2 linked regions of the Macaca mulatta genome follow. The protein of the gene in region 1 purifies or fractionates together with the protein of each later gene. This does not show direct contact. Links are inferred from orthologs where the notes say so. Each region holds a gene or a part of one and is shown on either strand. Other genes may lie near its edges. The genes, in order: EXOSC4 and HBS1L.

Evidence for each region.
Region 2: the proteins of EXOSC4 (region 1) and HBS1L purify together in Homo sapiens (affinity purification with mass spectrometry; 3 studies listed by BioGRID and IntAct, with this or other methods). This does not show direct contact. The link is inferred for Macaca mulatta from reciprocal best matches to the Homo sapiens genes EXOSC4 and HBS1L.

The regions. Positions count from the first base shown.
Region 1 is NC_133413.1:154,461,069-154,465,047, reverse strand, and holds EXOSC4 (exosome complex component RRP41), read right to left. Parts: upstream 2,572-3,979; 5' UTR 2,453-2,571; coding exon 2,282-2,452; intron 1,247-2,281; coding exon 1,040-1,246; intron 949-1,039; coding exon 589-948; 3' UTR 547-588; downstream 1-546. UniProt on the Homo sapiens protein: Non-catalytic component of the RNA exosome complex which has 3'->5' exoribonuclease activity and participates in a multitude of cellular RNA processing and degradation events.
Region 2 is NC_133409.1:40,072,432-40,076,246, forward strand, and holds part of HBS1L (HBS1-like protein), read right to left. Parts: intron 213-3,815; coding exon 66-212; intron 1-65. UniProt on the Homo sapiens protein: GTPase component of the Pelota-HBS1L complex, a complex that recognizes stalled ribosomes and triggers the No-Go Decay (NGD) pathway.

The sequences.
Region 1 (3,979 bases):
TCTCAAATTCCTGACCTGAAGCAATCCGCCTACCTCAGCCTCTCAAAGTTCTGGGATTACAGGTGTGAGCCACCATGCCTGGCTGTTGTATTTTTTAGAGCCCAAGGTAAGCAGCAGGAAAAGCCCAAGGGGCTCCAGGCCATAGTCCAGAGGCCATGGGACATGGCCCCCACATCTCTAGGTTGGGTACTCAGAGCCAGCTGAGTTCTCCCTCAGCCCTTTGCTCAGGGCCCTGGATGTGCCAGAGTAAGGGTAACAGATTCCTCAGTCCAATGACCTGGCTCATCTTGCCAGGCCCTGCCTCCTGCTCAGCTGCCTTGAGTCCTTACTGGGACATGTTGCTTTTTCCACCCAGGACCTCCCCCACAGCAACCCCCTAATCCACTGTTCTCTTCAGGGTTTGAATTAGGCTACACAGAGATAGGCAGTTCATGTGTGGGCGAGGGGCCCTGGTCATCCCCAGGAGCCAGCACCAGACCAGGCTCTGCCAGGCTTCACATGGCTCTGAAGTGCTGTTGGGTGATTAACGTACAGTGAGGGTTGTGTGGGCAGAGGAGGGTTTTATTCTGGACATGGGTGGCTGGGTGGTCAGTCCCCCAGCAAGATAGAGGCCTCACGCACATGCTGCCTGACCACTCTGTCCAAGAGGGTGTGCACATCTCGAGCAGCCTGGGCAGCAGCCTCCAACACCCGCTCCAGGTGGTCCTCGTGCAGCCGGGCATCCATCTCAAGCAGCGCAATCTGTCCTGAGGCTGGCAGCAGGGCCAGGGCCAGCTGGGGGCCACCAGCTGCCTCCTCCACATGGCTGAGGTCCGCCAGGGCTGTGCCGTCCACAAAGCCAGCTGAGCACGCACACACAAAGTCTCTCATGGGTATCCCAGCATCCAGCACTGCCAGTGTGGCTGCATTCACACAAGCTGCATAGGTCCCACCATCTGCCTGTAGCACCTGCAGGGACCCCAGGGTGTGAGTCTATCAGACTCTCTCCCCAACCCCATCACACCCACCCCTCCCTGGATTGACGCTGCAGCCGGCTCACCTGCACATAGATATCAATCTGGGAACGTGGGTGCAGCTGTGTGAGGATGGCTGCCTCGAAAGTCTGGCGGAGCTGCAGGCCCATCTCACAGGACTTCCGGTCCCCATGTGGCCGTCGCTTGCGCTCACCTGTGCTGAAGGTCGCTGAACTATATTGACAGTTCACTAGGGCCCTGTCCGGCAGGGCTCGAGCCCGGGAACCCCGGATCTGGAAGAGGACGGACACATGAGCCAGGCCCACTCCTTCCAGCTCACACGCCACTGTCCTCTGTGGGTCTGCCTCTCCCTCCACTTTCAATGCCTCAGCAAGGGGCAACTACATTACCTCCAAAACAAAGCCCCCTGTTTTGCACTCTCTGTCTTGCATGTGTTGCCCTCTGGCATCTTTTAATTGGCTTCCTTGTGCCCATCCTTGCCCCATTCCCTGCCAACCCAAGTTTACAAACATCAAGGCTGATTCTGTCTCACCTTCACACTCAAATCCTAATTACCTTACAAAGGTTTCACATTACATATGATATAAAATCCCAAATCATTTCCCTGGTCTACAAAACCCTAATTCCTCACCTCCCCGGGAACTCTCAACCTTATTTAGAGTTATCCCCTCTTTCCCCACCAGCAGTCTTTCTGTTATGCATAAGTGCCTTGCTTGTTTTCACCACCGTGGTCTTCGCCCTCCTGGTTCCCTCCGCCTGGAAAGCAGAGCTCCTACCCTCATGCGCTAAACAAACACTCTTTCAATACCTTCACTGGCCAGGCACAGTTACAGCGCTGGAAACACAGCAATGAAACCAGAGAGTTTTATGTAGTTTCTGTCCTTAGGAAGCTTATGTTCTAGCGAGGAAACGGGAAAATGCTTAAGCAAAATAGGCATTTGAGATTGTAGATGCACAAAAGACAAGGGTTTATTGTAGGGAGAGAAGTACCGCATGGATAAAGCCGTCTGGGAAGGAGTGACGTCGGAGTAGAGCTGAGAGGAGAGGGAGCGAGTGGGGGAGTGCCTGGCACGTTGAAGAGCCGCAAAGAGGAGGGAGAGCGCAGGCACAGAGACCGATGAGAAAGGCAGGACCACCGCGCAGCACACTAAAGACTTGCATTTACTCCGAGTGAGATGCAGTGCTGAGCATCGGCTGTGTAGACTGAGGCGCGCCGGCCGCACCTCTCAAGTCCCCGAACCTGTGCTCAGCCCGGCTGCCCCGCAGATCCCGCGGTCACGCGATTCCCATCCCGCACGCCCACTCGCCTCGTGCGGGCCGTAGACCACCGCCAGCGCCTTGGTGTTGCCCTGCTCGATGTAGGCCGAGCCGTCAGCCTGCGCGAACACGCCCATCCGAGCCTGGATCTTGCGCAGCTCCCCGGCGCGCCGACCGTCCACCCGGTAGCCCTGGTCCGACAAGAGCTCCAGCCCCGCCATGCTGCCCGGCCGCCAGCTCCGCTCTCTGCCTAGTTCTCTGATTCGCGGGAGAACTACAGCGCCCTGCGGCTCCGACCTCCCCGAATCTACGGTTTCCGGCGGTCCGCTATCACTTCCGGTTCCGGGGAGCTACAGCTCCCCGCGGTCCCGACCTCCCTGGATCTACGGTTTCCGGCGGTCCGCTGTCACTTCCGGTCCCGGGGAACTGGAGTTCCTCGCGGCACCGACCTCCCTGGATCTACGGTTTCTGGCGGTTCGGCTTCACTTCTGTCTCCGGGGAACTGCGGTGGCGCTGTCGGGGAAGCAGCGGTTGAGCCCGCAGCCGTTCCCGGAGCTGTGCCACGGGTGCCAGGAGGTGGGCGCCCGCCGAAGGAGAAATTCCCGTCACGCCCTCGGGACCAGTGGTGCCCACATTCAGCCCTTCCCCGCGCCCCAAGTGTGGAAGTGGAAGGATGAACCCAGTGGGTTGCGACACTGACAGGAGAAGGCATTGAGCGGTCCTAGAAAAGTGACCAGGCTGGTGTCCGAGGATGGTCCACACCTGGCACCTCTCCAGTCCTCTCATGCCCTCCCTTTACACCGAGCTTCCACACTGCAGTCGAGTGGGCCTCCCTTTTCCTTTTGAGGTTGCAGATTTCCTCATCCTTTCCAGAGAGGGGTTGTGTGTCTGTTTATCTCTTGCCACTTAACCTCAGCGGCTTCAAATAGCAATCATTCTATTATTATATCCTGCAGTCTTGGGTTATCTAGGCTCAGCTAGGTAGTTTGCACGTAGGCTCTCTCCTACAGTTGCTGCCAGATGGTGGCTGGGGCTGGAGCCATCCTAAAGCTTTCTCTTTCACATCTTTGGTGGCTGATGCTGGTGGCTGGCCAGGACCTCATCTGTGGCTGTCAGGCAGCACACCTACCTGTGGCTTCTCCATGCTTCCTTGCAATATGGCAGCTGGGTTCCAAGGGTAGCCTTCCAGGACAATGAGATGGACAACATGTGCATGATATTTTTAGAACCTAGCCTCAGAAGTCACATAGTGTCCCTCCTGCCAGACTCTGTGGGTCAAGGCAGTCAGACACATCTACCCAGGCTTAAGGGATGGGGACAGGGACCCCACCCTTCAGTGGGAGGAGTGTCAATATTAGACTGTAGGAACAGCAGGTGGGCTGGGGAAATGCAGTCTGCTGCAGGGGCCCAAGTTCAGCATCCCCTTAGAGGTGGTTATGCTCTCCTGAAAGACTGAGAGGCATGAGAATGAGTGAGCAAGCCACAGCCCTGCTGCTGCAGCTGGTATGAGGCCATGATAGGCCACTATCCTCTGCCACTGGCCACCACCGATTCCCCACCCTTGGCTCTGCAGCCAGACACTGCGTACTGTGGAGCAGCCCAGGCCCTTCTCCCCTTGCAGTCTGAGCTCTTCCTGTCCCTGTTCTTACTGGGTCATTTTGTTTGTTTGTTTTGTTTTTTTGAGATGGAGTCTCACTCTGTCACCCAGGCTGGAGTGCTGTGGCACAGTATCAGCGCACTGCTCCCTC
Region 2 (3,815 bases), on another chromosome or scaffold:
TCTATATGAGCAGAATAACATCTTAATTAGCATCTTAAACAAATCTTCACAAAGCCTTTAAATACCTGATCCATTTTATTAACTGCAACAGCAAGCTGCGTCACTCCCAGAGAACGGACCAAGAGTCCATGCTCTCGTGTTTGTCCTCCAGTCTCAAATCCAGCTTCAAACTCTCCCCTGCTGGCATCTACAACTAAAACAGCTACATCCGCCTAAAGAAGAAAAATAATTGAAACCAGAAAAAATGTTTCAGCATTTTAATTCAAAGGACAGATTATTCAATTAATTATGTTGTCAAATTTTTAAAGGAAGACCCTAACTACCCCCATCAAAACAAATCAAACAAAAGACTCCCAAAAATGGATTAAAATTTTAAATAAAAGTCACCAAAAATAATGACATAAAGACCAAGAAAAAATGGCCATATTTGATTATATAACAATTAAAATATCTAAGCAAAGGAGGAAAAATATAAACAAAATTAAAACATAAATAAACAGCAACCAGGCACAGTGGCTCATGCCTGTAATCCCAGCACTTTGGGAGCTCAAGGCAGGCATATCACCTGAGGTCACGAGTTCAAGACCAGCCTGGCCAATATGGTGAAACCCCATCTCTGCAACAAAAACAAAAATTAGCCAGGTGTGGTGGTGCACACCTGTAGTCCCAGCTACTTGGGAGGCTGAGGTATCAGAATCACTTGACCTGAGAGGCAGAGGTTGCAGTGAGCTGAGATCGCACCACTGCACTCCAGCCTACTCGACAGAACAATACTCCGTCTCAAAAAAACAAAAAGCAGTAAACAGGGAGGGACAAACATTAGTAACACATAAGGTAAAAGTTATAATCTCTATAGAGTCTTTACAAAAAAAAACAAAAAAGAAGACATAGCTTTAAAGGATACAAGCAAGCTATTTGCTAAAGAAATATAAATGGTCAACAAACATGAAAAAAATTCAAATTCAGTAGAAACCAAAAGTTTTAAAAAGTAAAATAAAAACACATTGACATATTCCCCCTCTCCCATTTTTACAAATCACATTGTTAAAGATTTAAAAGACAAAATTATTTGCTGTAGGCAAGGGTGCAGTGAGAAGCGCATTCTCAAATATTGCTTACGGGACTGTAGGTACACCACCTTCCAGGGGGTATTTTCACGAAAAGTATCAAGAACTTAAAAATTATACATATTTTACTTCCCATCAATTCCACCTCTAGGAATTTATCCCAGAGAAATAATTATAGATCTACAAAGATATTCATCAGAGTATTGTTTATAATGAAGAAAAATAACAAATATATGAATTATCAAAAAGCAGCATATTCATCCTCTACAGCTATTGAAAAAAAGCCTTGCATAACAAAGTTTTCTAACCTGTGTGGACCATCTTGTGAATCAGATAGAAAGACATTTCTTTCAGACTCAAATTACACACCCCACACAAGAAGAAAGCTAACCTTAGCTTAGCTCAGTTTCTTTGTTAGCCTTATGGAAACTAACGTTACAGGTTCCCACTATTCTTTTGTGTTGATGCCGCTTGCATCATGTGGGTACAGCCTTTTAAAATGTGCAATAGACAGTCTGAGCAACCACAGACGTTCCCCCTTTTCATTCTAATCAATTATTTCTGTCAATGCACTGTAGGGGCATTTTTTAAAGAACACTTTTATTTTCTCTTTTACAGCTTGTGCTTTGTATGCATACCTGTTTGTCACAGAAATCCACTTTTCTGAAATCTAGGAAACAAAGACTACACCTGGCATTCCCCTTCCCCTCTTTAGCTATCTTGGACTGTTACACAATAATCACTTTCTCTCTAGGGTCCTCTTATATTCCATCCACATTATTGAGTTCTCCCGCTTTCTGGTCAGAACAGAGTCCACAACAGCTTGTTTCTTTGTTGCTTCCCCAACGACCCCTTTATTTCTGTGCTCTCCAGTTTTTAAAGAATTTCAGATATCATATATAATCCTCACCATAATGGAAAATAAATGGTCATAAAATATGTCAGGAATGTCTCAGATATTTTCTCACAATAGAACATTACAATTTAAATTGAAGTACCATCCATATACTTTGTCTGGTGGGATAATTTACACTATTCCTGCTTCCTTTTACTCGTACGTAAATACTCTTGCTTTGTCTCTACTCTTAAGTGCCATCTTCACTTCCAATCCTTCATATTTTATAAAGCTGAACACTTATTTCCTCAATGAGATACAGTTCTTTTGATCAAGGATTCTTAGATAAGAATAAGCATACACTGAAACAATCAATTTGAAAATTGGCTCTTTCACGCATGCTTGTAGTCAATAACCGTTCTCCACACCTCAGGCAAGTTGTCTAGCCTCTCTGCATTATCAACTTACTTACTTCATAGAAACACTAGGGAGTAAATATAGTTTATATAGAACATCCATACCTGAACTTCCAAGTCCTAGGCTCAGTAATTGACAATCTTTTTCTCATTAGGTTTTCATAATAACTGTAAAATTATATTTACCTTCTTAGGTTAAAATGTAAAATTCATTGAATTGGTATTAAGATACATAAGGCCACAAATGTTCTATCTAATCTTCCTATTACCATCTCCAAAACATTTCTGGGCAATTTCTCTATTAATATTATTTCTAGGCAGCAGCTCTTGCCTTTGGGAGTCCAAATGCCTACTATGCATTCTCAAGGAAGCCTTTGATGATCAAGCAGAATAAAGTGATCTCTCTCCACAACGCGTATCTTCTCTGTTCTTGGAGTGCAACTGTTAGCCTTTCATCTTCACGTGTCGTCTTCTACACTGTGATTTCCCTGAGGTGAGGCAGCATGCCTCGTATGCTTCTTTGTGTCCCCAAAGCCCACTGCAATATTTTGCACACTCGGCAAGTTACTTAACATCTTTGAGTCTCTTTATTTATTTGTTACATAATGGAATTCAATTAGATGATCTCTAAAATCCTTTCCCACCATAATTCCATAAAGAGTTTGGAATAAATGATTTTTGGTTTTTGAGGCAGGGTCTTACTCCCTTCCCTCATGGCTCACTGCAGCCTCAACTTCCTGAGCTCAGGTGATTCTCCCACTTCAGCTTCCTGAGTAAGTGAGGCTATAGGCACCTGCCACCACACCCAGGTAATTTTTTGTATTTTTAGTAGAGACAGGGTTTCGCCATGTTGCCCAGGCTGGTCTTGAACTCCTGGGTTCAAGTGATGTGCCCACTTCAGCCTCCCAAAGTGCTGGGATTACGGGTGTTAGCCTCCATCCCTGGGTCTGGAATAAACGATCTTTATAATAACTATGCACTCTAAGGTTCTAGAATTCAAAAGCATTTTTACTATAACTGCTTGTTCCGGTGTTTGTCTCACTCACTAAACTATCAGTGCTTTGTAGGCATTGTATGCCCACACTGCTACCTCAGTGCTTGCTACACAGCCAGGATTCAGTAAGTAATCAATGAAAAAAAAAGAAAAAGACTCACAGACATACACACACACATACATATACACATATAAGGAGAAATCAAAACTATATTGTATTCTTTGGTAAATGCAATGAAAACTACAGTTTCCCACAGTATCAGTGAGGGATTGGTTCCAGACCTCCCAACCCCTGTGGATACCAAAATCTATGAATGCTTAAGTCCCTTTTACAAAACAGGATAGCCTTTGCATACAGCCTACACACTTCCTCTCACACATTTTAAATTACCTCTAGATTATGTGTAATACCTAATACAATGCCTAAACATCATTTCATTTGCATGGATTCAACACAGTACTCAGCGTGCGGCAAATTCAAATTTTGCTTTTTGGAATTTTGT